Linked DNA regions of Drosophila melanogaster. The protein of the gene in region 4 purifies or fractionates together with the protein of the main gene of each other region. This does not show direct contact. Each region holds a gene or a part of one and is shown on either strand. Other genes may lie near its edges. The genes, in order: Idh3b, Pcyt2, Fmo-1 and CG8888.

The links.
Region 1: the proteins of CG8888 (region 4) and Idh3b purify together in Drosophila melanogaster (affinity purification with mass spectrometry, with the first as the bait; one large-scale study listed by BioGRID). This does not show direct contact.
Region 2: the proteins of CG8888 (region 4) and Pcyt2 purify together in Drosophila melanogaster (affinity purification with mass spectrometry, with the first as the bait; one large-scale study listed by BioGRID). This does not show direct contact.
Region 3: the proteins of CG8888 (region 4) and Fmo-1 purify together in Drosophila melanogaster (affinity purification with mass spectrometry, with the first as the bait; one large-scale study listed by BioGRID). This does not show direct contact.

What each region holds. Positions count from the first base shown.
Region 1 is NT_033777.3:22,013,963-22,022,326, forward strand, and holds Idh3b (isocitrate dehydrogenase 3b), read right to left. Parts: upstream 5,223-8,364; 5' UTR 5,072-5,222; coding exon 5,030-5,071; intron 4,866-5,029; coding exon 4,818-4,865; intron 4,755-4,817; coding exon 4,662-4,754; intron 4,135-4,661; coding exon 4,018-4,134; intron 3,961-4,017; coding exon 3,379-3,960; intron 3,257-3,378; coding exon 3,026-3,256; 3' UTR 2,429-3,025; downstream 1-2,428. Other genes in the region: Theg (testicular haploid expressed gene), read left to right, coding at 866-1,344, 1,418-1,517, 1,579-1,798, 1,865-2,127; mitofilin, read right to left, coding at 5,898-6,075, 6,142-6,430, 6,488-6,646, 6,740-6,760, 6,863-7,558, 7,622-7,770, 7,831-8,304.
Region 2 is NT_037436.4:1,549,076-1,556,913, reverse strand, and holds Pcyt2 (phosphocholine cytidylyltransferase 2), read right to left. Parts: upstream 3,422-7,838; 5' UTR 3,018-3,421; coding exon 2,904-3,017; intron 2,837-2,903; coding exon 2,513-2,836; intron 2,454-2,512; coding exon 1,746-2,453; 3' UTR 1,599-1,745; downstream 1-1,598. Other genes in the region: CG12099 (uncharacterized protein), read left to right, coding at 1-642, 697-851, 911-1,345; Pcyt1 (phosphocholine cytidylyltransferase 1), read right to left, coding at 4,288-5,049, 5,113-5,436, 5,626-6,120.
Region 3 is NT_033778.4:23,959,476-23,966,754, reverse strand, and holds Fmo-1 (Flavin-containing monooxygenase 1), read right to left. Parts: upstream 3,800-7,279; 5' UTR 3,696-3,799; coding exon 3,508-3,695; intron 3,449-3,507; coding exon 3,262-3,448; intron 3,210-3,261; coding exon 3,038-3,209; intron 2,981-3,037; coding exon 2,445-2,980; intron 2,381-2,444; coding exon 2,213-2,380; 3' UTR 2,114-2,212; downstream 1-2,113. Other genes in the region: Alas (aminolevulinate synthase), read right to left, coding at 107-483, 628-1,870; CG13566 (uncharacterized protein), read left to right, coding at 4,308-4,349, 4,416-4,609, 4,674-4,753, 4,808-5,100; alpha-Catr (alpha-catenin related), read right to left, coding at 5,419-5,535, 6,036-6,242, 6,296-6,616, 6,675-7,279.
Region 4 is NT_033778.4:12,075,378-12,083,566, forward strand, and holds the start of CG8888 (uncharacterized protein), read right to left. Parts: upstream 4,167-8,189; 5' UTR 3,942-4,166; coding exon 3,918-3,941; intron 1,922-3,917; coding exon 1,676-1,921; intron 1-1,675. Other genes in the region: CG13186 (uncharacterized protein), read left to right, coding at 5,941-6,372.

The DNA.
Region 1 (8,364 bases), on a different chromosome or scaffold from region 4:
ATGACCTAGTAAATGCTAAATTCAAATTTATAGTACATATTTGTGTATGGTATGAGTGTATTGCATAAGTTCGATGTGGGTGTATAACAATTATTATTAACATTATGCTTATCCCTTTCGTTTCCACGTTATGTACATTTTGTTCGCAAGACAAACGAATAAAAAAAAAACGATCAACAAATTTGAAGCCAATAATAATGAACAAATAAGAACATGTGCTGAACTGCTGAATTCCAATTGAATTGCAACCAGAGTAAGGAGATACATTACATTAACCGAAGCAAAAACATTGTAAAAAAGCATAAAAACCAACCGAAATCAGTTGAGAAGAACGTCAAGGAAACGGGCAAAAATTGCTTAAGAAATGGATGAGATTTGTGTATATGTGAACAGAATGAGCAAAAATAGAGGGTATACGTTAGCTGTCGGAGAGCAAACTAAAAAAATTAACAACTTGCCGATGGGACAGTCGGAAAACAAGGCCCAAAAACAAAACTATTAACTTGTAATGATGTGAACTTGGAGCATACTCTCAGTATTTTTATGAATACTGTCAATAAAACATTAATTAAAGATTAACAACGTCTTTTCATTGCCATCGGGGTTAAGTGGATAAAGCTTAATTTTGAAATTAAAATTCCAGCTTAGGTAAGTATTAAAAAATCTTGTCTAATAGCGAAAAATGTATGCATTTCATTTGCTGTCAAATTCCAAAATTTCTGTACTTAGTTGCCACAAAAAATTCTCCAGATGAAGTTAGCTTTCAACTCGTTCAGATAATCGTAGATGTTTTTTATCATAAGCGAATAAAAAAGTTAGCATTAATTGGTTTAAAGTAGTGCGTCAAAATTCGGAAATCCACAGAATGACCATCCAAGGACTGAAGTGTGACCTCAGCCCGACGGTGACCACTTGTCTGCAGCTGAAGGACTGCGTCCGTCCGGACTGCTGTCCCATCCGGGACCCCATTCCCTACGATGCCGAGTGCTTCGTTAGGGACATTGGCCAGGAGCTGGACAAACTGACGCGCCGACACGAGCGCATGTTCGTCAAGCGGCGGCGTCTGATGGAAATGGCCATACCCAGGCGACGCACCTGCCGCTTTGTGCCGAAATGCGCCTGCTCATTTCCCAAGTCCATCGAGATGGTGCGACCATGTGACGCCCAGAATCACACACGCACCGAGCAACTAGCTCTGCCCACGGTCCGTCGATTGCTTCACAGGCGGCGAACGGCCATTCTGGCGGGCGACTCAATTGGGGAGTCCATACTGAACAGATGGCTTCGCTACAGCTATCTATCGCTGTACAGTCGTCTCACGAATATCCAGCCGTTGGTTAAGCCGTAAGATAATATATCTATCTATCTTATGTTCATTCATTATTATTTATAAACCCATTATCCTTTGTGCTTGCAGGAAGAAAAAGAAGAAGAAGACGGAGAAGCAGCTGGCTAAGCACGAGAAGTACATCGAAAAGTTGGCGAAACCAAAGAAAGCACCAAAGGTCCCGAAACCGGTAAGTTAAAAAAAAAACTAAATTCAGCTAAAAACTGATGATAATCCCCCATTTCATTTAGGATCGTGGAGCTGGGGAGTTCGATCCCGTGCGTCTCAATCAGCTGGCCAGTCCCAAGGCCTATTTGGAGGAGATCAAACCCAAGTGGGAGCTGACCTCCCAGATGAAGGACTACAAGGCGACCAAGCGGATCAAGCAAATATCGCAGCCCGTCGTGCGCGATAATGTCCACATCAACGAGAATCCGGAGAAGGTCTCGCCCAATGCCCTTCGCTACAAGCGTAAGTACACATACTCCAATTTAGTTGATCTTTTAATAATGCAGCACCTGGCATTGCTTCACTTAGCGAGTGCCCGCATCAAGGAGATGTCCGAGCCACTTACCACGCGCGATGCCAACCAAGGACTGGCGGATGTCAAGGAGAATCCATTCGGTATCGCGCCAAACGCGCTCAAATACAAGGCGAGCACGCGGATCAAGGAGCTGGCGGAGCCCAAGGAGTTCGAGAACACGCATATCCGGGAGAATCCGTTTGCCATATCGCCGGCGGCTCTGAAGGCCAAAGCCTCGCCACGCCTCATCGAGTTGGCCAAGCCCAAGGGTGGATAATAATTGGAGACGGACGTGGACTGTGCGTCTGGATAATCATTACCGTCCTTATTGGTGTTCTAAGTTTTTCATTTCGGCTACATTTGGTATCGACTTTTCTAATAAATTTGTTTTTGGTTTTTTAAAAAACAACTAGAGCTTTTCCGGCTCTTTACGGGATTGGATTTCCTGTGAAAGTGGCGCCGGAGTTGGGAATAGCGATGAAATCTCCTTTGGCCTTTCATTCCAGTCAAAAAAAAGTTTGAGAAATATGTTTGGGTTTTTTTTTTTATCTTTTGTTTGTATTACTTAAAATTTAGACAGCTCGGAACTGACAATGGCTTTTAAATAATAATTAATTTAGATTTGAGTTTATTGTTATCTTTCTCACAGCTCCAGTGGAGTGGGTCCACTCAAAGCCATCCGTTATCAGTTAATTGGTTTAGCAATATCATTTGTTTTCGGTTTTTTTTTTTGTTTTGCTTTTCAACGGGTTAAACATAAAATATAATTCGACCGTAAATTAGCATCTTTGCGAAATCAAAAAGGGGGGGGGGGGGAAATAATACGTAAATAATTACAACATAATCAAGGATCGATGTATTACTGCCAATTGGTAAAACTAAAGAATTCGCAACTTTTGGATTCGGGGCGGGTCTGCAGGCGTTTCAATTGGACTAAACTTAAATATTCGCCGGAAATAATACTCAAATGAATGCACTGAAGACATCGGGACAAATAAAAAAAATTGGACGTAATAGGATAACTAAGAACTTTCAAGGTGTTTCTTTCAACAATTCAAAATTTAGCTGTGGCAACAACAGAAACTGTCTAATGTCGATTATATAAGCGCCAACGTTGTTGCCCATGATGTTGTAGACTTGCTGATCGCGATGCCGGCGATGACAGTGGTGCCCATCTAGGACATGTTCAGGATGATGGCGCGGGTAAAGTCCTGCGTGGTCGATTGTCCGCCCAGATCCTTAGTACGCACCTTGCCATCGTTCAGCACCTTGTTGATGGCATTCTGGATGATCTCGCCGTAGGTGGGCAGGTTGATGTGGCGCAACAGCTTCACGCCGCAGAGCAGCATGGCAGTGGGATTAGCCACGTTCTTGCCCACGGCCTCGGCGAAGGTGTGACGTGCACCCTGCAATCGGAAATCGGTATTAGAGATAAGAATAGTCTGAAGTGGATTCGCACAGCTAGGCTCGAGAACCGTGTAAATCACGATCTTATGGATTATCTTTATGTCTTTATGGCGAATCTTACCGGCTCAAAGACGACGGATTCCGAGGAGTAGGAGGCACCAGCAACGACACCAGCACCGCCCACGAGACCACTGGCCAGATTGTCCACAATGGCACCATAGAGATTGGGGGTGACCATCACGTCGAACTGGTTGGGATTGGAAACCATCTGCATGGTCGTGTTGTCCACGATCATCTTCTCAAACTGGATGCGCGGATAGAGCCGGGAAACCTCTTCGCAGGAGCGTAGGAAGAGACCGTCGCCCAACTTCATGATATTCGCCTTGTGCACGGCGGTGACCTTCTTGCGCTGATTCTTCGTCGCATAGTCGAAGGCGAACTTGGCAATGCGCATGGACTTTTTGGCGGTGATAATCTTCAGGCACTCCACAATGCCGGGCACCGACTCGTGCTCCAACGCCGAATACTCGCCCTCCGTCTGCTCGCGAATAATCACCGTGTCGATGTTGGTGTGGCGGGTCTTGACACCGGGCAAGCTGCGCACATGCACCACATTGGCGTAGAGGTCCAGGTCGTTGCGAAGCTTCATGTTAAGGGTCTGCAGGTCACCCACATTGCTGTAGTCGGGTGTGGCCAAAACGCCCTGAAGGAGCACATTGTTTAGATTTTATCACACTATTTTATTTTCTTGCAAACTTACCTTAATGCACACTTTGTTTTTCTGAATGGATGCCACCACATCCTCCAGTTTGGCACTAAGCACGGGATTGATTTCGGAAAGGAAGTAGCACTCGAAGTCCACGGGAACGCTGGCTGCCTGAACGACAAGATAAGATAATTATGCATATTGATTGGGCTTGAAAAGTTAAAGAATTTACATAGCATTTTTTAATTTAGTCGCACGTATGAACATGTATGTTCAGTTAAAACGGAAATCCCGAAATCTACTAAAATTTTCAAGTAGCAGCCACTTATCACATATCTTTACGATACAGATAAGTTTGATGTTTTGATTTATATAATAAAAACACTCGTGATCGGGAAAAATGGAAGTGTTATCAAATACAATGCGCTCTGTGAAGAGTGAAATATATTAATTAATTTTTAGAGCCCTGTGCTTTTTAAATCTAATAGATTCTAGAAATATGTACATAACTAACTAAACGCCGACTTGCTTAAAAAAAGCTTTTCTATTAAATAGGAAACCAAGCTGGCAATGATCCTAAGCTTAAATAACCTTTTTTTTAAGAGAGATCAAGAGACGCAAGAGTATAGATTTATAAGAATTAGGACGCATTGGAATACTGTATGTGAATGATTGCAACTTGATGGATGGTTAGCTACCTTGAAGACCTCCTGGAGGGAGTAGACCAGCTCGGGACCCACACCGTCGCCGGGAATCAGTGTGCAGGTGGTCCTGTTGGCGCCGTAGTTATCCTGCAAGACCAATTATTTTCCGGTTACAACTGGTGCCACTTAATAAGCGCATTTAACACTCACCGTAGCCCGTAGCGTCGACGTGGTGTGCAGACTACGTGCTGCCGCAGCCTAAAACGAGAAGAATGCAATGTAATCGTTAAGGCTGGCTAGGATTATAACCTCAAAAAAAAAAAAAAGAAACGTATAAGAACTAGGCCTCAGCGCAGAAATATTCGCACAGCGCGTCGCGAGCAAGTGTTTATGTAAGAGCTGCGGTTTGGATGGCCGTTTACCTGCATGAACGTCCGTCCAACTGTTCTCGCCAGCATCGACATTTTGCTATTCGGTTAGCTAGATCTTCCCGGCTGTTGATCCAAACTCAAAAGTGTGTCCTTTGGCCACGCGAAATTTTTGATTGCGATGTGATTTTTGCTCCGGTGCCAAACCGAAAAATTTCAATAGGACCAAATCGACCACGCAAACCAGCTGATTGCCTCTGACTACCAGGGCTGGCGATAGCCGCCCACGAAACTGGCGCGTCCAGTGCTGGCTAACGACCAACTATCGCGATTTTGGCGTTCGAAAATTAGTAACGAACATATACGATTATTTAAGGAATAAATTTGGCGGCAACCGCATAGTAACCTGTTTTTGAATACATTTGCCTTGCCTACCATGCTTTCTTTTCAGAACAGAGAAATTAAATTTAGCCAATGCATTTTATTTGAATTTTGACATTCAGCATACTTTTTAGTCAACTTATTTATTATATTAATTTTTTTCGCTAAATTAAACAACAAGTGGATGTTCTTTATGTTTATTTATGGCCTAATCACATTGTTCTTCAGAAACACAAAGCTTGCCAATTTCAGCTTTAGTAATATATCATATTCCATTCATGCCTTGGTATCGAATTTTTTACAAATCTTCCCAGAGTATTTATGTTTTGGATTTTATAATGATGGTTTCTATGTTTAATTTGTATAATTGAAGCTAAACAAAATGTTACAAATATATGTATATAAGTGCTATTTCGTTTCAACTGTGATCGCTAATTGGACAAATTACATATTGTTGGTAATCGTACCATCTTCTCCTGGACTAATAACAAATAGTAAGTGTATCATCTTGTTTCTGAAGGAAGGGGACACGGGACGTAGTCTACAAATACAATAGTCCGCTGGCAGCGGCGTGAGCCATCAAGGTGTTGGCCGCCTGCTGAGTCTCCAGCATGAGGCGAGCCTCCTTCATCCACTCGCCGGCAATCTTGCGCGATGCACCCTGCAGCAGATTCATGTACTTGAGCGCCTGCAGAAAGTCGCTGCGATCCACATGGTACCTGTGAAACATAATATATATAATATATATTATATAACTCTAGTGATAGATGAATCAATCGCCTCACCTGGCCCTGTTTAGGATATCGTAGGTGTCCAGTTTGCTATAGTCGAAGGGTTTGTTCTCGAGTTCGTCCTTGGATATGGGATTATCGGGTCGCAAGATGAACAGCGATTGCAGATAGGACAGGAAGTAGATGGGCAGGCCGGCTCCTTCCTCGGGCACCAAAGCCAATCGTCGCGCCACGCGCTCCACATTCAGGAAACGCTCGCGCAATGCATCTTCTGGATAGACACCGCGCTCCTGAGCCTCCTTCGGGACGCTTTCCAGCACAGCGGCCACCAGGTCGTCACCCTCTGTAAGCATATGCATTTAGCAACTGAAATCGAAATGTGGGAAACGTTTCAACTTACTAGCCACCTTGGCAATGGCATTGATCTCGTTCTTTAACGGGCGCAACCTATCCTTATAGTGCACGCCAGGAGTGGCAGCGCGCACGGAGGCCCACAGAGCTTGGCAGGCGGCCCAAAGGGCCTGCGCCTGATTGGCAGTACGCTCTGCATCCGCACGCTCTGCAAAAATGTTGCATATAATGTCAATAAACATTTTGATTAAACCAAGAATAAGTTGGTATAAGTACTACCCTTCATATAGGGTGAATATACCTTGAAACTCATCCTCTATCTCTAATATAGCAGCATGTTTTGAAAAGGTTTGAAAACCATTATATATCTAGCCACGCTACACTAGCTACATTCAACCGATATCGTTTAAAACGTATAACTTACCTGCCAGAGCCGCGTCCATTCCGCGCAGCTTGCCGAGCATCCCGGCCAATTGTAACTTATAGTTGGCCTTTTCGGTCGCCAGCTTATCCTCAAGTTCACGCTTAAAGCTTCGCGTCAGATCGGTCTCCCGCTGCGCCACGATGTCCTTTATATGATCGGCGTGGGCCTCTGCTTGCTTTTTGAGCTGCAAGCGCAGCAGCTTATCAGACTCGGCGTGGATGTGGAAGATTTTCTTTTGATTTTCCACGGCCAGTTTGCGCCGCTCGGCCTCCAAATGGTATTCCAGTTGGGCGCGCAAAGCCTCCGAATCGTTGTCACCGCGAACCGAGTCAATAGCTCTCTTCAGGCGCAGCTCACCATCGGTTTGCAAGCGCTGCAGCTCCTTCTGGTAGGCCAGGACATGGGTGTAGGCGTGCAGGATGAACAAGTCTAGGTCCTCCTTTGACAGATTAAGTTTCTTATCCGCCAAACTGAGGCCGGGGAAGATAGACTCGATCTCGTCAATGAAGTAGTTTCGCGCCTTCTCCACATTCCGCCAGTACTTGTCTGACACGCTGGCCGTGTCCTTGTGCCGGTAAAGCTCGTCCTTTACGTTGCCAATGTGGTCCACAAGCTTCTTGATCTTGTCGCGCACTGCCTCTACTTTCTTTGCGTTTTGGGCCGTTGCCGCAGCACTCAGGGCGATCTCGCAGGCGACTGCAGTTGATAGAAGGGAATGTTACTGAAATTTGGAATCTATTTAACAAACAATGGACTTACCAATCTTCTCCTGAGCCTCACGGGCAGCTCGCTCTGCCGTAGCCACTGCCGTATCACGGGCACTTGCTCGATTTTTCAGCGTGGTCCAAAGAGAGTTCTCTCCATTCTCTACGGCCTTGTCTACAACCTTACGGACATCGTCATTAAAGCTGAACGATATTTGATTAAATTTAAAATCACGCAACGAATAGTTAACGAGAATTGCTCACCCTTTCAAAACGCCAATAGCGACGTTGTACTCCTTGACGGCCAGTTGAGCAGACAGCTCGATGGCTTTCTCCAGCTCAACAACATCGCGGGGCAGCGGATTATCCTTAGGCTTGGCAGCGGGCGCAGGCGCTGCTGCTGCTGCTGGCTTCGACACTGGCTTCGCTTCAGTCTTGCTGACTTCGCTTGGTTTTGAGGGTCTCTTTTCCTCAGCAGGAGTGGCCTTCACGGGCTCCACTTTGGACTTCTTGGACTTGTCATCGCCGCTGCCGCCGCCAAACAGGCCCGTCACCTTAGATGTAACGGAGTCCACCGTGGACGTCACTGTCTCGATGCCAGACTTGACCTTATCGATCTGATCGTTGACGTTCTTGGTGATGCCCTTGAATGGCGGTTCCTCCTGCAGAGCCACCTTGATGACGGATCCTGCGCCGGGTACATTCTTCTCCACCAATTTGCGGAAGTCGTCGTCGTATCTGGAAAAGGATTTCTACATTATTCGATGGTTCATTTAAGCATTTCAGGTGCAATAAAAT
Region 2 (7,838 bases), on a different chromosome or scaffold from region 4:
GATTGGGCGAAACAATTGAACGTTTCCCCTTTGTGTCCGCTGGTGAAGAGGCTAAACGCTACTCAAAGTTTCTAATAGCCAAGCGGATGGATGTGGCCGCCATCATCGAGAGGGAGCGTAACGAACTGCTAGCCGAATCGGATGTCTCCTGTCCCGAGGATGTGTTCATCCAGCAAGCGCTGGTGATGCTTCAGGAGCGTGTTGAGAAGTTGGGTGTCGAGAAACCTGATCCGAAAGAGGATGAAGAGGAGACAGCACCTGTACTTTGCCTAGAAACCGAGACCAAGATTGATATTGAGAAGTCAGACGATGCCTCCATCTCGTCGGGAGAAGCATCCAGCAGCCTTAGCTACTCGAGCAACCATAATAAATACTATTATTTCTACCAGTCAAACGACGGACAGAATATTTACTTGCATCCCTTGAACGTGAAGATGCTTCAGGCTTGCTACGGCACCTTGGACTTGGGTCCGCTACTCATCGAAGCCCAAATCGTGCAGATGGAACAGCACTCTATGGATGAGGAGCATCGACGCAAGTTCACTTGTCTTGGCCACTTGCCTTTGACTTGTCAGTTTTCGGTTGTGGAAGTCGAATTGCAGCCGCCAGTGGTCACTGGAGGAATACTCAAGCTCTTTAAGGGTAAGTCCACTAGGTCCATGTACAGCATTATGCTTATATGTATTCCTTCCGCAGAGGACATTCTTCATCGTAAGAAGGAACGACAGCGTCGGGATCGCGAGGAGCGCAAGCGAGAGCAGCACATCAACGAGATAAATGACCGCCAGATGGGCAAACTTATTGCCAGTGCAGCTAACCTTGACCTAAGCTCCTCCCATGAGTTTCCCACTGTGAGCTAGCAATGCCTGCCATTAGTGTCAATTATTAATATGTGATATTTTATCTAAAGTGCGGCTTCGAGGAGGCTTTGCCCGCTCCCAGTGGCTCTGTGCCCATGAACATCAGCAACCAGGACCCCGGTTCCCGATACTCCAGTGTCACTCTGGGAAGTCCCAAGCAGGAGATGTGGCCCACTATTGGAAGTAATTCTCCTGGAGGTGGTGGCGCGCCATTGGATGTTCAAGTGGGCGCCTGGGGCCGTTCAGCTCCACCGCCGCCACGGGCTGTAATGGTCCCAAGAACCAGCGATGAGGACTTTGAGCAGCGATCTGTGGGCCACTGGGGTCTGGGAGAACTTTTAGTTGGAGCCTTGGACCAGAAAAAGCAAAAGGTAGGAGCAGCAAAATCCAATGGAGCAGCTCCAGCGGAATCGAAGAAGCAAAAGAAGGCCAAGGGCAAGAAGATGGTTCCCCTGTTCGCCACGGGCATGAACAGAGCTCCATGAAGAGCTAGATGATGATCGCTTATGAAGTTACAAGATTTATTGTATTTTTGTTTTTATGCGAATATTTCAACGTTATTTTAAATAACAAATGCGATTGTTCTATCATTGAAGAGGATTTGGAAAATCATTCAGCTAATCTATAATTTAACCCAACTTATATTCACAATACACATAAGATAACCAATAAAGGCAGCAAGTAAAATATCAAATAAACGCCTTTTTACTTTCTTGCCAAAAGAAATATTCATAATTTAACTGAAATTTATCGGAATGTATTTTAAGCGCATACTTTTTCTGGTAGCTCTTTTAAATATGTATAAAAGTGCCTACTGCGCTGTTCCATTAAACTTCAAACATATTTATTTATGTTTTAATTGATAGGAAGAGGCCAAATTCGTCTTTAGTCGCTGCGTCGCTCGTCTACGACATCCTTATGCTCTGGTTGCTCCGAGTAATTGAGGTTTGCTGAGGCATTCACCTTATCAGGGCGCTTTTGTTTTCGACTAAGGGATACGCAACTACCAGACCCGTAGTCTGGTGGCAGCTCCATGTACTCATCCTCAGAGTCTAAGTCGTCTGTTGCGTCTGGATCGTCACCGTTTACGGAGCCATTCGGACTGCCTGGTGGGCTGAGTGCCTGAATGATTCGGCCCTTGGACTCGTTCCAGAAGGTGTTAAGCCGCTCCCGGCCGAACAGGAGCAGGAAGGCATCGATGAACTCGCGCGACTTCTCCTCCCACTTGGTGATGATGTCAACCTTGACTTTGGTCAGCTCCCGCTTGCCTCGTGTCTTCAGCTCGTCCATCTTGTTCTGCAGACGGAATTTCTTCTCGGAGAGAAAGGAGACGTTGAGCTCCTTGGCTGAGTAGCCTCTGGCCAGGTTCCTGCGCACATATACATCGTAGTCCTTCACGATTCGGGCCACAATGTCCGACGTGGACACGCCCTCAGTGCGTTCCGTGGCCACAAACATTCCCTTCGCTTTGAGTGGAGCATATATGTCGTTGACTCCGCCAGCTCCATAGGGTATGTCATCGTGGGCCACAAAGTCGATTTTGTGCTCCTCGATAAACTCCTCATTTAGCGTCCACGGAGCATTCGGAACGATCTTGTGATGGATCGAAAAGTGTATAGAAACATTTCATTGGTTCAGTTTAACACACTTACCTCATCCACGTAGCGGCAGTGGCGCACCGCCTCGTAGCGCTCGAATCCATTCATAACCGTGCGTCCCTTCATCCTGAGGGTCAGCTCATCATTGCACACGCCGACGATGAGATAGACGTTGGGAAACACATTCTTGGCCTGCATGAGTTGGCGGGCATGGCCTTGGTGGAACAGATCATATATGCCATCTGCATAGACCCGCACCCTGCGCGTCGTCTTCCCAGCTCTGGCCATATGATAGGTGATCCTCTGTGTGTAGTCGCATCTCTCGAGCTCCAGCATGGCCTTGTCATCGTACGAGAAAGGAGCAGGCTGGCAAATGCTCTGGAGGCGTTTTGGGGTAGAGAGATTAGTATGTGGCAACTCCTGTTCCTCTAAGGAGTAGCCTTACAAAATCCTCAAAGTCCATAAAGAGCGGTAGCATCTTAAACTCCATCGGCGATGTCGGTGTGGCAGGAGCCGTCGACACTGGAGATTCGTCGTCCTCTTTCGGCATTCTGTCCATTGCTTATAAAAATATATGTACGAGTATACACAACTAAGTACAGCACTAGTGGTCCGCTCAAGGGGATTTCATCCGGACGACTGATTACATAAATTGAGACGGAACCGGCATAACCCTCTAGGTCTACTCTGTCGAGGATTGAGTCCGAGACTTTGAGCGAGAGATGTCCCCAACTGCGCACTAGCTGCGATCAGAATAAATTGGCGGCAACTGGTGGCGAATCAATACAATTGAGTCCAGCGGCTGGCGAGGCACACGACTTGGAGGCGGCTCTAGCAGTCTCAGGCCCAAGTCTCTGGCTCGGATTCATCGCTCATCTTCAATTGCCGCAAATTGCGGCGCAAGCAAATAGGAAGCAACGGGTCGGTCGCCTGACTTGGCACGGGTCCGCCGATTCGATCAGGCGATGGGTGCGCATCTATATATAAACCGCAGCGCCATTAAACAAATCAGTGAACCGCTTCAAGCCGGTGAATGGGCAGCTAATTGCGAGGGAATGGGTGTCCAATCAAGGCAAACGGTTTCATCATCATCGGTGGCGCGCGCTCAAGAATTCCAGCAGTGCCATGGATGGCTGCTGAATCGGATGCGCAATTGCTGGATAAACGTATGAGATAGCAAACTGATTCACAAGCCACTCGCTTTACTTCTATTTCCTTTCGATTCAATGTTTATTTTTCAAAAAATATTTAACAAAGCATTTGCAATAGTTCCGCTATTGCCAACTGTTACTAATTACTTGTTTTTGTTTTTTGCATTTTCCGAATGTATTTCGTAATTTGTTTGTTTGGATTTCTCTATATTGGTTGGTGTTCTGGTTGCGGTGTTGTTAACTTAGTTTAATGTTATGCGAAATAATTTAATATAAATATTTCTAGATATTTTCGGCACCTGAATCTGCCGCCACTGCCGATTGATTTCGTGCACAGTCCGTCGAGTGCCTAATACAAAAATGAGTCTTTTCCGCGTTGGTGGTTGCTTGTCCCACACACACACACACACAGCTAAATTAGCTACAGGATTCCCTCGATTCTCACAGATGGAGATGGGCAGGTGGAGTTGAGGCAGGAGGAGAACGAGTGCCAACTAAAACATTGGGATTACAATACCACTTAGGGCTAGAGTAAATATAAGTGTGTGTTCGTGGAGCCTGCGTGGCGATCCTGGGGCATCTATAGTGTGCCGTCGAACTAGTTGCAAGCAAGTCCATTTACAATAGCATTAAAGACATTAAGAGAAGAAGAAAAGATCGGGCTGCCCCGCAATAGAATCAATTGCTTCGACGCTCGTACTCCGCATCCGCATCCGCATCCTCGTCCCCATCCGCTTCCAAGTCGGGTGATTGGCTCTGCAGACTCTGGTAACTGCGGCGGGCCAGCGAGGAGCGCTTCTGCTTCGGCCTCTGTTTGCCGTTCAGCGATCCACTGCTGCCGCTGCCGCTGCCCCCGCTCAACTTCTCGGCCATCTCCAAGTACTCGTCAATAGTTTCGCTGTAGTCCTCGCCGCCCTCCGTGTCATCACCGTTCACTGATCCCGACGGGCTGCCCGGCGGACTGAGTGCCTGCAGCAGCTTGCCCTTCGACTCGTTCCACAAATGATTCAGGTTCTCACGTCCGAACAGCAGCAGGAAGGTGTCGATGAATTCGCGCGACTTCTCCTCCCACTTGGTGATGATGTCCACCTTCACCTTGCTCAGCTCGCGCTTGCCGCGCGACTTCAGCTCGTCCATCTTGTTCTGCAGCCGGAACTTCTTCTCGGACAGGAACGACACATTGAGTTCCTTGGCCGAATAGCCTCTGGCCAGATTACGACGCACATACAGATCGTAATCCTTGACGATCCGGGCTACGATGTCCGAGGTGGACACACCCTCAGTGCGCTCCGTGGCCACAAACATGCCGCGCGCCTTGAGAGGAGCATAGATGTCGTCCATGCCATCGGTTACATACGGAATGTCGTCGTGGGCCACAAAGTCGATTTTGTTGTCGGCGATGAATTCATCGGACAGAGTCCATGGCGCATTCTGGACGATCTGCAAGACAGAGTAAGATGCTATAGACTGAAAGATCTCTAATCAGTGCCGGGCAGAACATACCTCGTCCACATAGCGGCAGTGACGCACTCCCTCGTATCGCTCGAAGCCGTTCATCACGGTGCGTCCCTTCATGCGGTGGGTGAGCTCGTCGTTGCACACGCCCACAATTAAGTACACGTTGGGAAAGATGTTCTTGGCCTGCATTAGTTGGCGGGCGTGGCCCTGGTGGAAAAGATCGTAGATGCCATCGGCGTAGACCCTCACCCTGCGGGTCGTCTGTCCGGAGCGGGCCATCTGGTAGGTGATCCTTTGAGTGTAGTCACATCTATCCCGCTCCAGCATGGCCTCCTCGTCGTGAGAGTAGGGCGCCGGCTTGCAAATTGTCTGCAGGAAGAAAAGTTCCCGATTAGTTGGGCTATTCAACTGGACGATTGTGTCCTTGGTCTACACATTCTTTCTCGATCTTATCACACATCGTCGGAAATATACGACTCACGACTCGAACATCAATTTCAAACGATTTCAGCTACTACGATTTAGACTAACTTTGCATCCTAACTCTTGACTACTTACCGCAAAATCGGAGGCCCCGCTGAAGAATTGCTGCGAGGTGGATGCGGGCACCACCCGGTGATTCGGCGACGCCTGCTGCTGCGGGACGTACTTCCGCTTGACGCCGTTGAGGTAATCCGACTGTGGGGGCAGCAGGTCCTCGGCGGCTGCCGCTTCGCCGCCATCGTCGGCGTCGCTTTGTGAGATGGTGCGTGTGCTGTCCCGCAGTGTGGTGGCCGAGGTGGTGGGCTCGCTGGCTCCCTCGCCGACCACCAAGACACTCTCCAGCTGGCCGGGCCTGCTCTTGGACTTGCCGGGGCTGTTTGTGCGCTGATCCTGAACTTCCGATACCTTTGTGGCGCTGCTGGAGGCGGTGGACGAGGGCATGGCAATGGCTATCTCGTAGGTCCGCTTCCGGGTGGTCAGTGTGGAGCCGGGGGACGCGCTGCTGCTGGGCGTGGCCGGTGGCGATGTGCTATTAATTGTGCTTTTGGCGAGTATCGATGAGGTGGCCATCGCAGCGAATGTTTGGGAGCGGCAGTTTTAACGGCTTCGCGACGCGGTGACGGAGGAACAGAGATTCAATTGACTTTCAGCTGGAAGAGATCGAGAAACAGATTGGTTACCATCAATGCTCTACATTACTTTCCCATATTTTGTGTGTTACGTTTCGTTTACATCACATTTAGTCTTATGAAATTATAAAGTTTTTCTTTGAAACCGCATTTGGTTAGCTTTGCATTCTGTTTATATGTAGTTGCAAGCATCATTTATCAAATTTCTTCATTCGCTGGATTTTATTCAAATTTCCCTTTGCCAATTTTTCCACCACTCCAACTTGTAACTTTTAGCCAAAGGGTTAATAAGTTTTCTCAAAAAGGAATAACAATTTTACTTCAATGAACCAACACAAGTTGTATTCTTGTTTTGTTTAATCGACACATATGCACTTGTTTACCAAGCAATTTATAAATAAAATCCAATAAAGCAGTAAACAATTCGAAATAAACAAAGTTATTTTTGAACTACAATTTAATGCATTGGTGCATAAGCAAAAATATATTACACATTCGCGCAGCTAATGGAAAGATACTTTCTTGTGAAACCATTTTTATGTAATCAGATATTCCCTTTTCATTAACCCAAATATTTATGACTCGGGTGGCAGTAGTTCTGACTGTTTTGCGCTGACGACACGTGACACCTGACCCCGCGCCCCCAGCCACGCCCCTTTTCTTCGAAGTTGAGCCACGGCCAAATCGATTTCAGTTTTAATTGCCAAATGGCCGATTCAATTCGCCACGCGCATCGCACCAGAGAAATTCCGCAGAAAAAAAAAACGCAACTGAAACAGCGGGTAAACAACAACACGGCTCGGTGTCGGTAATAATAGACATACAGAGACACGTAGTACTCTCGATAGGAGCGGGATGATGAGCAAGTGAAGCGCTGGCGGGGAAGGCAGCAGGGTGGGCGGCCAACCCAGCGCAGAACTAGTTCCGAGTATGCAGCGCCACTTTACGTAAACAAGTGCAGACGGAACACGTGAGCCGGACACGATGACCCATTCCCCCCGAGAGCTGGGCGCCAATCCTCTCGTGCTCCATGGCACACCCAGCAAAAGCAGCACGCAGGAAGTTACAGTTGGGATTAGTTAAGTCATATGTACATATTATTTCAGCTACCGGGAATTTTCAATGACGAATTTCCCGAAGGTCGTTCTAAATCAGTTTTTGTGCCAAAAAAAAAAAACGATGCTGCGTGCGAAATAATTAAACAAGATCGTCATATGTGCACATATGTACATAATTAGCATTGCGTATTTTGGGGCATTTGCTTGGAACTACATAATTGTTCATAATAAATATACAATACGTCATAGAAAAAGTAGAAATTCCTCATTTTTTAAATGCTTCTTTCGATAATATTGTAAATAGGCCCACTGTGCGGTCAGCTGTCTCGTGCGTGGCTAACAATAATTTTAGGTAGACGATTTCCCATGTTTATTCATCGTGGCACACATGCCTATTTACATATGTATCTACGTGTGTGGATAGCGTCTGCATATTTCTTGGCATTGGGAATACGTCAGAGATTTCTACACCTTATCTGGAGGAGTCCCTCCTGGCGACTCCAAAGGGGAGCAGAGTGCTTGATTTTGTGTTCAAGATTTGCCTTGGACGTGAGTCACTTGGAAGCCGCTTACAGTTCAAGTTCAAGCCATAAAAATAAAA
Region 3 (7,279 bases), about 12 Mb from region 4:
TATATTGCACCAAAACCATTGTTTATTTGTCCAAAACCGCACAGATAATTTAGGCATAGCTTTATGATTCGAATGCTTCATTTATAGTCGTGTTTCCAAGAGGCAACTATGCTGCAAGCGAGATCTCCAGGCGAGGGCAGTTGGGAATGCCACACTCCAGATCCGGGGAGGTGTCCTGGTGCCAGCAGCTCTCCGAGTTGCAGAACATGCATGCGTTGGGCGAAAGAGGGACGTTTGTAGAGAGGTCCACCATTTCCCACACTTTCTTTAGATCGGTAACCAGGGCGTTCATCATTTCAAAAGTGTGGAACGGGGTGGGGGCCAGCCGCAATTTCTCCTGGCCCCGGGCGACGGTTGGGTAGTTAATCGACTGCAGGTAGTGTCCGAATTGTTCGATCAGCACGTTTGAGATTTGACTGCTCTTCAGAGGGTCTCCGATCTTAATGGGAATGATGTGGCTGGGCGTTTCTTCGACGGGGAAACCTGAAATGGGGCCAATTATATATGCAGTCAGTAAACTGAAAGTTAAGTGTCTCTTTCTATATTTATAGCCATCACTTAAAATAAAACGAAAGTGCGAGAATAACCTTCAATTCGAGTTACATAAATGCCAGAATTACGTCTTACCTTCTCGCTTCAGCAGGCTCTTCAGGTAGGAGACGTTCCGTTGGTGCAAGTGGCGCAGCTGGCGACCCTCCTCCGATGCCAGGATATTGACGGCCTCCAGGGCGCCACACAGTACAGTCGGCGGTAGTGAGGTGGTGAAGATGAAACCGGCCGCATACGACCGAATCATGTCGACCAGGTTATGGGTGCCAGCTATGTAGCCACCAATATTACCGAACGCCTTGCCCAGGGTGCCCGATATGATGTCCATTTTGTGCAGCACACCATCCCGCTCACCGACCCCGGCCCCGTGGTCACCGTACAATCCCACGGCGTGCACCTCGTCGATGAACGTGATGGCCCCGTGCTCGTGGGCCACGTCAAGCAGCTCCTCGAGCGGGCAGATGGCCCCCGTCATGGAATGTACCGTCTCGAATGCGACGATCTTGGGCACGCTTTTGTCCGTCTGCTTCAGCAGCTGATGCAAGTGGTCCACGTCGTTGTGCCGGAAGATGTGCTTGGGAACCCCGCTGTTCCGTATGCCCATAATCATGGAAGCGTGGTTCCCTGCGTCCGAGAAGATCTCGCACCCAGGTAAGAGCTTGGCGAGCGTAAAGAGAGTGGAATCGTTGGCCACGAAGCACGACGTGAACAGCAGCGCAGCCTCCTTCTGGTGGAGCTCAGCCAGCTTACTCTCGAGGCGCTCGTGGTGAAGAGAGTTACCCGAAATGTTCCTGGTGCCGCCAGCCCCCGATCCGTGCCTATTGAGCGCGTCCTGGACGGCCCTCTTGACGCCGGGGTGGGCGGACATTCCCAGGTAGTCATTGGAGCACCACACCGTAATGGGCTTTTCCGTCCGCTCCGAGTACTCCAGGGCGTGGGGGAAAAGCCCGTCGCCTGCCAGGCGGTTCACCTTCTTGAAGACCCTGTAGGAATGGTCCCGCTTCTTCTTCATGATCTGCTCGTTGAAGAAGCGCTCGTAGGGAAAGGTCTCCTTGGCGGATGCCTTGCCAGGATCGGCAGAGGCGGGGGCGGAGACGGGAGCGGTGGCGTTGGCAGTTGCGGGGCCACCAGCATTGGCGTGGGCGTTCGCCCCCGTCGAGTGAGACCTTGTAACACTTGCGGCGACGAGTGAAAGTTTCTTCTCGCCGGATACCAAGGTCTTCCCAACCACGGGACAGTGGCTCCCGTAGGATTGGCACAGCGTCTCCGCGTAGTTGCGGATGAAGCTGGCGGTGAAGCGGTTCAAGAACGGACACTGCATGACGAGGCGCTATTCCACTTTTGAAGACCCGACCTAAATCAGCGAACTTTGAAAGCGAAGTGAGGTGTTCCGAAAATTATGCAAGAAGGTGATTGCGAGGAGGCGGGCGAGTGTGGCCAGAGCTGGTGAATGTGCGCTGCCCGCAATCAGCTGTTTGGAAAAATACCAACAAACATGTTCAAACAAATGTTTGCCGGTGTTCAAAAAGTTTTTGTTCGAGAATAAAAGCTCATTTTTTAAACTGTTGTTTTGGAATACAAGAATTGGAAATTTATTTTATTTCGAAGGGAAGTCCAAAAACGATGTTTTGGAATCTAATGCTCCTATTGATTGATTCAGGATCTAGTTGAGTTTAATGAATGTCTCGTCGTCCAGAATCGCGAAATTGTCCTCCCGGAAGTGGAGCAAATTCTCATTGAAGCACTTGCTGCTTTCGTTGTGCAATTTGGTCATCACAGGCTTGATGTTCTTAACTCCTGCAGTTTGCGACAAGTCCGTGAAATAGTCGATCTTGATAATAAATGAGAATAGAATTAATAACCAGATAGAGAAGTAAAGCCAACTTGCATCGCACTTGCTTGGGACCCAGCATGTGGGCATGGCGTTTTCTTAGTCCCTCCGCCCACAGTTTGCCCATCCTATCGCGGGTGTCCTTGAGCATATCCTCCGTGGACGGCAACTCGTTGGATCCGTTGTAGTAGCTCATGATGAACCTCGCTTGGATGTCCATCATTTGGGCGGCACAAACGTAAAACGGCAGTCCGATCAGAGCCATGGATGGGTTCCTGATGTTGATGCACTGCTTGTACAGCTCCTGGACGTAGTTGTCCTCCACATAGATGCCCGAGTCGACGGTCAGGAAGGGAAAGGCGTACTTGTAACCTGTGCAAAAGAAGACGGTGTCGAACTCCTGGTACGATCCGTCCACGAAAAAGGCTCCCTTCTCATCGAGCTCCCGCACATCGGGTTTCTGCTGTACGTTCTCGAAGAATGAGTGTTGCCCGATATCGGTCAAGTGGTGACTTATGGTGACCCGATCCGCCGTTCGGGAAATGATGTTCGACAGGTCCATGCCACTGGGACCAGCTCCAATGACCAGAACGGATTTACCTTGAGCAGAATGGAACACCATGTGAAATAACCTAATAGAAGTTATTCCTTAATTACCTTCGAAAACCTCCCTACTTCTGAAGTCGTGGCTGTGCAGGAACTGCCCTTTAAACCTTTCCATATTCGGAATTTGGCTATAATTCGGAGTGTGGTAGTGGCCATTGGCCACCAAGACCTTGTCGAAGTACTGGAACTCTATCTTGTTGGTGACCAAGTCTTTGAAAAGTACCTGCAAACGTTTCAGTTAAGTGGTTATATATAAAGCTGACTCCACGACTTACTTGCCACTTTGTTTTCCTCTGCAAAACTCGAATCACATAGCTATCGAACTTGATGTGCTTCTTCAGGTCGAAATGGTTCGCGTATTGGTTAAGGAAGTCGCAGATCTCGTCGGATCTCACATAGGAAGCCTCGTTTGCCCCGATTTCGAAGTCCGGGAAGCCCATTACCTCCTTGGGCAGGTTGGTTCTTTGAAGAGGCCCGGAAACTCTTAGAATATCAAATGGTTTTTCGAAAGATTTACGTACCGTAGGTTCTTGTACATGCTGCTGTGGACATCGATGCCATTGACCGCCCCTGTTGCCTCATTGTAAACCCAGGTGCCGCCGATTCGGTCAGATAGCTCGAACACAGTGGTCTCGAACCCATTTGCAATCGAATGGCGGGCACAGCAAAGACCCGCGGTTCCGGCCCCAATTATGCAAACGCTCATCATATTACAGTATTGGTTACAGCTTATATTAATTTTAATTGCTAGCTGCGATCCTAAGTGAGATAGGCCGGGATTGCTTTCTACACGCCGATTGCCTCCACGAAACTGAGGATCGCACCGTGATGAGCTCTTTGGCTTCCCCGCCTGATAGCCCTGCAAAAGTTGGGTACTTGGACTTCATTGAGAGGTTCGCTGAGGCCTTTAAGTAGTAAAATTATGCAAGTCTAATGAGAGTATCTTGCATTCGCAATCCGTATGAATCGCTGTGCTTGTTTTTTGTAATCGCGCTGATAAGAAAGAGCATAAAGCCTCTGCTTTTGTCTCGCCTTTTGTTTATGGGGCATATAAACATATATATTTATTATATTAATATTTACACTGCCGATAGGAAGCATAGGCGGCACAGCAATTGCCCACAGATGCTCAGATGTGCTCGATTCGTTGAGCAGTTCAAGGTTTTGGGCTATTATGGACTATGGGCCATGAGGCCAACTTCTTTGAGTTCGTCTTTTCCCACGCTAAACTGCGAAATTGAATGTGAGAAAATTTGCATGGGTCAGGCGGATTCGGAACGTACGTGCCGCAGTAGCAAAGTGCACGTCAAGATCGTCTAACATGGGGCTACCAGCTTGCATCTGCACCAAAGTTCTCCAACTGGCGAGTATCTTCGAGTTAGAAGGAGACTTTGAGTTACCTTGAATGATAGAGATACATCCCCATTAGATTGCCACGGTGGCGGCCCTGATTGTAAAGCGATTGTCGGACAAGCACTCGGAACGGGTGTTCGCCATCAACAAGAAGCAGTCCAGGGAGTGGACCCTCCTCAACAGCATCTCCTGGTCGAAGGAGGGCGATGACTTCGGCACGCTGACCTTCGTGGGCTATACCTTCATTGCAGCTGTGCTGCTGCTCACGAGGTAACTAACCACCCAGTGACTATGACATATATATATATGATATGCTAAGACCATCTCCTCTTAGGATCATCGAGGGCACCTCAAACTATGGCACCTGTGAGATAATTCTGTTGACCTGTGGCGTTCTGTTCTTCACCATAGAGGGTAATATGGCTCCTGGGATGCAGTAATGTCAGAGTGATGAACTCTCTCCTCCAGGACTACTGATATTCTTCACGGTGGAGCAGCTGTCCGAAGATCTGCTGATATTTGCCTATGCATTGGGAGCACTTTGCTTCATCTGCGCCGCTCTGTTCGCCCTGGACCTGATGTTCTTCAAGAACCTGCTGAAGCTGAGGGACTCCACCGTCCAAACAGACCAGTCGAAGGAAACAGTGGCCCTCAAGGTGTACAATCTTTCGCAGGAACCGAAGATGAGCTGCTGCAACATGATGCCCCGCACTCACATCGTGAACGAAAGCAGCAGGAACTATCTACGCACCGACTTGTAGACCCAAGTGAAAGAGCTCGAGATACATATGTATCTGCATCTGCGTTACCTTTATTGCCGTAACATCGAATGTAGTGAAACAAAATATGCATTATAAGATCGTGCTGCTGAAACAACTAATTGGACTCGTATGTTAATAAAGTTTTCGACATTAATCAACGCTAGAAGCGGCCGCCAACTAATACGCGTACACAAAACGGAATGCAGTGCCAACAGTGTAGACTACGATAGCAAAACCCCCGGGCTCCTCTCAGAACAGCAGGAAGGACACCCTCGTCCTTCGCGCATCCCCCTTGGCTCGGCGAGCCATCCCGTAATGTCAGGGAATGTCGCTGCTGCTCGTCGTCCCCTTGGAATCGCACATGCCGCCGGCCATGTTCTCGTTCGACCGCTCCGAGGTGAGTCCTCCGGTTATGCCAGTTAAATTTAGTTTGTACTGCAAGGCGGAGCAAGGGGATTAGGATTAGGATGGAGTTCGTAGAGGAGCTGGCACTGCAGCTTATGAGTGGCCAAAACCAATTGTTGGTTAAAGGTCACAGTTGGGTTAGATAAACACACGATGGGGGATCTTATCAAGCTATCAACTCAACTCAACTCAAAACTCAATACATCAAGATACATATGTACATACATGCGTGAAATACAAAAGTTAGCGATTAAGATTAAGATACAGCGCCATCTACATTAGCAAAGTCGAAAGTAAGAGATGTAACTAATAAGATTGAGAGTTTAGAAACGGGGATTGAAGCACATCCTCAAAAACCAAAAGGCTTCTCCTGCGCCCCTGGCAACAAACGAAAGCTCTAAAATCATACCTGTAATAATGCATGCTTTAATATCACAGTAAACTATAGAAATCATACACATTGAGAAAGTCTGTAGTATCATCCACTACATATAGGAAATGGCCGCGTGGGCCTGCCTCGGCCTATTTACCTTAGTTGCGCACTCAAAGCACTTCGACACTACTTTGTTTATAACGTTCATAAGGTTCTTGGTTTCCCTGATGACGTGATCGACCTTCACGAAGGTGGCGGCTTTACCAACCGTGTGGTCTTTGACTGTAAACTGGAGTGCTTGGACAAAAGTCGGCACTCTATCTAAAATGTTGAGGAGATCCTTTTTGTTGTCACTGGCGGGAACCTAAACAAGCGCAGAGTTAGCGACACGGATGCCCATTATCAACCGATAATTACCTGGTATGAAAAGTGGCGGAGGACTTTGTAAAGTCGATTGGCCTCCTCCGCAAAATATTCGGCTTGAGTAAACAAATCCTGAGTTGTTCTTAGAGAACCGTTGCCCTTGGTAAACTGATACATTAGGAAAGCCATCGCGGACATGTTCTTGGCTCTCTTCAGTATGTCGTTGTCGTCCGACAAGTCTTCGCTCCATTTTGATTGATATGTGTTCAGATCTCCGTTGTTCTTGCCTTCGAGGCCAGAATACTCAACCATTTCTCCGTCTTCTGTTGCAGGTACACCGGATTTTGTTAGTTTGTCTGAGGAGCTTTCGCATTTCTGGGGAAGATCGGAAGTAAGTTAGTGATTACCTCGCCCACTCTGGGCAGCAACCCACCTCAGCATCAGCATCTCTGTCACCCTTGGTGGTGTTGATCGAGACGAGGATCTTCTTGGCGATCATGGAGATCTCGTTCGTCAGCCACTTCCACATGTCCGAGAAGGACTCGAAGTTCTCGTTGGCCGCACTGCTGTTGGAGTACTTCCACAGGATTTTGGCCGCGATGAAGACCTGCGGCCCGTAGATCCGCAGGTTGATCGCCAGGCACTTGGCCTGCACCTGCAGCCGCTCCGTGGGCGCAATGTGCTGCAGCAGCTTGCAGATGTCGAAGATGTGATCGCAGCAGTCGTGGAACTTCGAGGAGCGCTGGTTCAGATTGTCGATGTCGTAGTTCGTTGCCAGTACGTGGAACGACTTGACCAGCTTGGAGCAGATCTTGAGCGACTCGTTGAAATCCTCGATCTGGCTGGACACGGAGACGACCAACTGCTTGCACAGCTCCTCCAGGCTGCTCAGCATACCCAGTTCGGGATCTGACCGACCCTTCACCTGGCCTCCGCCCACTCCTCCAACTCCACCGGCTCCACCGCCACCCTCGTGCTGATCCTTCATGATGGTGTTCAGGTAGAGGTCGAACTCCAGCTTGCAGTTGTCGCAGTAGG
Region 4 (8,189 bases):
CCAGTTGCCGTGTCCCCGTTTTGTGGGTTTGCATCTGCTACCGTTGCTGTTAATTATCCTGCCGTCGTGCTTATTACCTTAATGTCGGGTTGCGCATCGCGTTGAGTGCAGCACAAGCAGCCTGCAATTGCCAGGACAATGCCATCCTGGCACCTGCAGCCCTGTCCACCGTCCGTCCGATACGGATACGCAGTGCCCAGGCACAGGACGATGGTTACGTGCCACGAATGTTGGACACGGTGCTCGGAACTCTTATCCACCTGTAATTGCCAGGCAGCAAATGGCCAGTGTCACTACTCCCATCTCGTTCCCAGCTCCAAAAGGAGGCTAATTAAAGTGCAGGCAAATTTGAATTATCTGCCAACTTCGTCGATGCCATTGGTGATGGTCATGGATGTGCAACGAGGCAAATGGTGCGAAATCGAGAGATAACCTTATTGGATTTGATGGCTTTGCGTATACGCATTGTGGTAATTTGCGCAGTTAATGCGAGGATATTAGGGCAAATAATCCTATGAGGGGGGGGGGGGCACACACACACATGACCTGAGGGGCATTTCGGTTGAGCTGCTTAGAAGTTTAATTGAGCAAGGCGCCAGCAAACAGGATGTTGAAATAGAGCCTCCAAGGCTTTTAATATTTAATATCGAATCATGGAAGTAACTGAAACTAGAGGAAGGCAATGACTCGGCATTTGGTGGATTAAGTTATGCACAAAGAATAGGTTGTAAAGCTGGAAATTATACGCCTGAATAATGGGATTGCGAGGAGCGTTCACTAAATGCCTAACTATCTTAAGTAATTGATAGTTTATTCTAATAAATATCTAAGTTAACTAAGGTGTTTTGTTTGTTAGTGGTTGAAGTATCTTTTGATGATTTTAACGACTGACTACTTTAAAGACGCCCTTTAACATAATTGACTGTCTGCCGCAGCCTTAAAGTCTAAGAAAGTTCGAAAGTAGATTGAAATGACTAACAATTTACTAGATAGCTCCTACTCGGAGCAATTTTCGGCTGGTCTCAAGTGAATCACGACTCCACATTTTTCCTACTTGCGAATTTATATTCATTACCAAACCCTTTTCTTTCAGCAAGTTGTGCTCGGGTTTGCCCACCAGGACTGCTCTGCTCTGCCTGCCTGCTTATTTATTTGTTTTCATTTTCATTTCCCGGCTGGCTGCCAGGCACAGTATAAGCCCTGAAATACCACACGCAGGCAAATCCGAAGCCAAATCCATAGTCAAGGGTTTCCTGTGCATCCTCCTGCTACATCTGCTCCACCAGCTCCTCCTTCCCCTTCGGCCTGGTTAAGCATAAGTTGACGACGTGCCTGCCGCAGGACCCTCTCCTTCCGCCGCCTTGTGTATATGGATTCTTTGCTGGCCCGACGACTATTTTTAGTGCCACTGATTTGTTTTGCCTAGTATTTGAGACCCTCCGTCGTCACTTGTGGTTTTGGCTTGGCACTTGTACCCGGCCAAAACGGAAGGGAAAAATAAAGACCGTTCCCGGCAGACAGAGCCCCTAACTTATGGACGCCCGTGGCGCTGAAACCGAAACCGAAAACCCCAAGTCCAATACCAATCCCAGGCCCAAGCCCAAGACACTCCGATCCCTTATGCGGTTTTCGCCAGAATTAAGGATTAGAAAGTCTGCCAAGCGGGATGACTTACCTTGACGAAGTGATAGAAGAGCACGGCTCCCACGGTGGCCAGAGCGAACCAGACGAACACGGCGAAGGTCGAGATGCTCGAGATGTCCAGGGCGTGGAGCAGGTGCGATGTGACAATGGCCGCCGCCTGGCAGAACAGGAAGGGCATGAATAGTCGCTCGAATATGTCCCAGGGAATCTCGTGCGACTTCTGCGGCAGTGCCGATATGGATCCTCGTCGCAAGGAGGCGCGTCGCGAGGCACGGCGCTAAAGGATAAAAGATATATAGATACATAGATAGATATTAATCACGGTGGTATATATGCCAATTTAATTATTCATTTCATTGCAGCGCATTTAGCATTTCAGTTTTCAGCTCTATAAATAGCCAGACAAAATAGCTGCGCCTTGTTTGTTTGGGAAATATTTAAACAATTGTGGCAGCTCTCGTTTGTTTGTGTTTTGATCAATAAATAAGGTGAATATGCAAATTATTGCACGCACTCATTGTTTTTATTTCCATAGCGGAAAATCAAAGATATCCGATTGGAAATATTCCCAGAATTGCATTGAGTGCTTTCTTCTGCTTGACAGGTGTCCTGAGTTTACCGGAATTGTCGGGGAAGCTGTGAAGTTTTATTTGGATTAGTCGGGAATTCGCTGGAAAACTCTGAGCGGCAATCTGTTGCCCGCCAATCGAGAAAAGCTGATGAAAATCTTTTGCCATTTGCAATCCATACAATTTATTGACTCAGGACTTCCGATTTGGTGCTCGTTGAAATCGATAATACTTCTGCTCAATGTTCGAATTCAATGGCTGATGAAATGGTCGAGCACATATTTGCCCAACAATATATCATCGGGCATTTCATTAAAGCTAACCAATTGCAGCCACAGGATCCGGAAACGACCACAAGCACTTACACCAACATATACATATGCTTGCATTTATCAGACGCTAACCCACACATTGACATTGACGTATAGCAATTACACATGACGTGCACAATACTCTCGAAAAAGTGTGGGAAAGCCACTGGAAAATCGGTCGGTTGTGTGTGTGGGAAAAATGGCTGGCAAGAGGGCACCCTTGGCAGCCCCTTTTGGCCATTGGCCATAAATCAACGACAGTGCGAAATAATCAAATGGTGGCATCTGCATAAATACAGAAGCCAATTGATTTATTCGGCCTGAAAATAAAGCAATTCCATTTCGGTTGCTTCGACTATTTTTCCTTCGCCGGATTTGTAAAATCGCCGGATCTATTTATACCTCCTAGTGCTGTCTGGAATATTAAAAGGAAATCGACCATGTCATTTCGGATTGCTTTCGTCATCCGGCGACCTTGCCACCAATTTTGGGACTTAGTTTGCCACAGATACGTGAGTATTATATGTGACTAATGCCGCCATTCTGTAAGTGGCCTACATATGGGCGACAATTTCGATCCGATCTATGTATGTACATATACATATATGCACTTGCTGCCGGTTCAGATATATCTATATTTATGTGTATTTATGTACGATTTATGTACTTAATGGGGTCGCTCAGCTGCCAAGAAATCGGTATATGTCTCCAAGCTTATTTTTATTATTAATAAAGATATGGATATTTATTTTTAGATGATGCGGCCGAATCAAATGGAATGGAAAGTTCTGGCATTGCAAAAATACTCGCACTGTATTTTCATGATGAAAATGTATTTGATGTGTATTTCGTTTGGAAAAAATCCAATCCCTTGTGGAATGTTCATAATCGTTTGCCTCAATGTCAAGACTTTTATTGTGCAAATCTGATTATAATGTAGTCATTATAACATTACTACATCCATTTAAGTTGCACTTAAAATCCCAGGCAGGCGGTAGAATTTTGACAAGTCTCTGGCGGAACACTTAAATTTTACATCTAGCATTTTGCATCTAGCATTTTGCATCTTTCAATTTCTAGTGGCTCGCACGTACGTTGACCCACTTGGATCGTGGCCATTAAGTGAATTTTTGTAATTAATTTGGCGGCCCGTTCTGAACACCGCATGACTTCCTGCCTTTCTGCTCCTTCGTTGCCGCCAAAGGATATCCTTTTCTTCTGCGGCCAAAATGGGCGTGGTTATGCCAGACTGGAGTTTGTGTATTGGCATTTCTGGGTTAAGCTAACTGGGCTAAGTGTGCCATAAGGTATACACAAACGTGGCGACAATAAATTTGGCCTGCGTAAACATGGCCACAAATGGCTTTTTTGCCGCAGGCTAGATTTCACTTACCATATTGTTATCGAAGACCTGCATGACGGATGCTGATGATGGTGTAGATGGTCGATGGTAATGTTCGGATTTTCACGCACTTTCCCAATGAAGTGGGCAATTCTCGTAGTCTTAGACTATAATATATCCGGTGCTAGAGTTTTAGATTTTTTTTTGTATTGTATATATTTTCAAGATCGATTTTCCGCAGCGGTACGGTTTGGGGGCCCGTGGCCTGGGCGCTCTGAGACACGGCGTGGCACTAAGCGGTACGATCGAGTGGCGCTGCCTGCAGCTGCCGAAAATTTTCGCTCGCCGATCGACGATCTCTGCCGCTGCCGCTGGCGACGTCGACGTCGACGTTCAAGTTCTGTTGTATTTCAAAATGATGCAAGCAGCAAATTGTCGTTTTGATTTTTTAAAAATATATCTGAAGTATGTGCAGACATGCGTATGTGGGATACATATACACACGCTGGCACGCCTATTCAGAATAATAAATATATTTAAATATTTGTTGCTCTTGGCGCTGCCCCACTGAAGCCGCAGCATCGATGATTATTTTTCCACAGCGGAAAAACAGCAGAAAAAAAACTCCGAGTGTGCAGATACATTTGTTGAAATATTCTTTTTGGCTCATTTGAATATTGCTTCAAAATGACCCTAGTTTTGAATACACAGTTTATGCGCATAATTAGTATGTGTGCAAACGCCAAAAGTTGCATTCTTAACCCCACAACGAATAGATTTCTGTTGTATGTTTCACTGTGACGTCATTGTCACTGTTGTTTACAATTGCGTTGTTGTTAATTTGCAAATTGCATTTTCATATACATTTTTGGTTTTTTATTTTTTTAAATTCCCAGCTCTTTGCTGCATTTTGTATGCTTTCATTTCGGTTTTATTTGTGGGCCGATGTTGGGAAAATTGGAAAATTGCATAAATAAACCATGACCCTCTGGGTCAGAGGGGGTTGGGGGGGATCAGGAAAATGCGGGCCACGTGTGGGCAGCTGAAGGTAAAAAATCATTCAGCTTCAGCCACGAGAAATGGAGAAATAAAATGCAATAAATGACCATTTGCAATCTCGCAATCCCGCAACCAATAAAATCAAGCAAATAAAAGAGTGTTGCAATCATGTTTACGCTCCAAAATAAGAATTTAAATGATTCCAATTAAAAATGCACAAATTATATAAGAAGACTATGTTTGCTCTTAAAATCAGTTCAATTAGATGTCCTTCAAACACTATTAAGAGACTTGAAAATAATAGGGTTTGCGATTTCATTCTTCATTTTTTTATGAAAACAATCCATTGATTTGGTATTGGTATCTTCTTCCAGCTTATGATAAATATCAGCGTATTTTGTGATAAACCTACATTCAATGGAATCCGTAAAGAATATCTGATAGTCGTCGAAATGCTCTCATCGTATAATTTACTTGCTTTAAATACTCGATTTTTATGTTTTCTCCCATTGTTTATGCATGTTTTTGTGTCCAACAATATATTATTGTTATGCATAGAATTTGTTGAGTAGCTTTTCTGCATGAATATAGACAGTGCCATAAATTGACGTCTATATTGGAGCTTTGCATATATACAAAACAAAAATCTATATATAATGAACAAAATTGTGGCTACCCAGCCAATGGAAGCATTTTCCCCTGCATCTATACAATATCGTTTTTTGTAATTTTTTCAAAGGCGGCTGCGTTGTCAGTCAATGTAGCCAAATTAACAAACGAACAGCGATTCTTTTCGTATGCGTGCCACCAAAAGTTGTTGACTCTTTCGGATTGTCATGCATTTTAAAAATAGGCGCAGCAAAAATATTCTGGACATCGTTGCGCACTTTGAAATGTACGAAAGAAGATTTATGGTTCACAGTACTTTTGTACCAGAGAATCATAAGTGAACCAAAAAGCAATCAATCAAAGCAATTATGAATTCTAGGATTGTCAACATTCGAAATAAAAATGGGTTTTGGTTATTAACAAAATCACTTCGAAATTGTGAAAGTAATCTAAAAAAAAAACCACAATGCCACCAAAGAAGCCGGCAAAAAAGAAAAAGGACGTGGACTGGTCCTCCGATGAGCATTTCTCCAAGGATCGTTCCATGATCTACATCGAGCACACGTACGAGTGTCCCATTTTCCAGACCAAGGCCGACGAGTGCGGAACATTCTTCACGCAACGGATACCGGAGCGCAAGTTCCAGCTGGTGAAGAATCGAAACGGACGCCAGGTTCCGCGGGAAGGAGCCTTCGAGATAGGGTTCTCGCAAAATGCACGCACCTCGGAGCATCTGCTGTGGTCCGGCTTGGAGAAGGGACCGCCGCGTCGGGATAAGTTCCCACTGGACTACGAGGCACTGGTGCCCGATGTGAACAGGATACTCAAGAAATTCTATCCCGACAAGGCGGTGGGCGTGGACGCTGACGACGGGGATGAGGAGAAAGAGGACATGTAAACATTTGCCGCACTTTGTTGTCTGAATTATTATAAAGTCTTTACCATAACAATGGCTAATACATGGCGTGAAAAGTAAACAATCAGCCAGAGACCTGTTGGAGCAACTTTAAGACGTCATCCACCCACGCGGACAAAATGCTCGGCGATTAGTGCGATTCTTCTTTGGCTTTTGTGTGTGTAATATTGCTGGTATTGTTGACTGACGTACTGACATCACACTTTGACAGCTCCTTTCAAAAGTTAAATGCTTAAATCGACCAGAATAATTAACCCAATACAATGCTGCCACATTAGCAGCCACACGATATATATGTGTATATATATATTATTATTACTGCACGGGGACATTAGCGACGCGTCCTATTGTCTGGCTGAGAAATCAGGGCAACTAAATCGGGACATGTGGTGTGTAGTTGGTAGTGGGTGCTACTATCTCGTTCACTTGGTGTTGACACAACAAATACCCCGAAATACATTTTCAATGTACACAATAGAGGACGAGTAATCCAAACAATTTAAATTGAAAGCTGAATTTGAAACAATAGACAAAGGGCACTCACATGCTAGCCGGCTTTTAAATGCTCTTAAAACTATAAAGTGAAAACTATACGAGCAAATCAATTTCCTATAAGCTTTTAGCTTGCATTTGCATACAATAAATGTGCAATCTATATGTTGCCTTCAAATCAGCATGACGCCCTAGTTGCTTTACATAAATAAAGTGCAAGAAATGGTATTTTCATTTGCTGTTCGCCTTTGGATTTTAATCCAAACCCTAGTCCTAGAGTAACATTTCCAAAAAGAGCAGCAGAAAACACATCCACATCCAAATCCATTGCGGATGTATTTGAAAATTGCAATGTGCCAGCAACACAATGGGCAGCTAGCTAGCTAGGAAAGTGGCTGGAAATAAATAAATTGGTAAACCGAAAAACCATCGACCGAGGGCAACAGAAAATTTGCCACTGCAAACTGGCTAGGGGGAAGAAGCCAACAAGTCGTGAAAGTCCAAACCAAATTACATTGTGGGCCAACAACAGCGATGACAATAACAAATACCAGGAATCCAGAGGGGTGCTTCCATGCTTGGCCCTTGGGACTAATACTAATACTCTGCCAACATTAAAAGTACAAAGGCAGCGTGAAAAGTTGCAGTGGAAAAACAAGAGGATTTGGTTGCCTTTCGATGATTACGTGTGTGCAAATGCGAAACTATGGCTCTGTGGATTCTCACCAGAGTTTTCCCAGCTCCACAGTTCGGAGCTCCAGAGCTCCAGAGCTTCACAGCTCCGGAGTCCGGATGCAAATGCAAATTAGTCTGGGTTACAGATGGTTTTTTGATTGACTGGTTATGGTGGCTGACTTTCAGCCACGATTCTAACGCAGTGCAAAGACTAATTTGAATATCACGCATACGTCATGTTCGCCCAGAAACTACAGAGCGTTTTTTAGCGCTTGACCGGCAGACAAAGGCGACTTTCAAAAATATTTAGCAACATTCGTGGCGCAGGTCATTAATATTAATATAATGGCTGTAAAAAATGGCGGGCAGAGGCAGCAGCCAGAAATAACCAAAAAGTAAAAAAGATAAAAATGAAAACGAAAATGTTGCCGCGACATTCCGATGATTTCAACAGATTTTATGCGACCGGCACAAAGAAATGTCAGCGAGGCGTTTTTCGTTCTTCGTATTTCGTGTCACGACTTATTCGGGGAGAAATGGGTTAATGTCCAGTCCAGAGAACGGCCATGGACCATGCAGCCTCCTTCGCTCGAGGTGGAAGTGGATGCATGTGTCAGCTGTCACCGGGATAT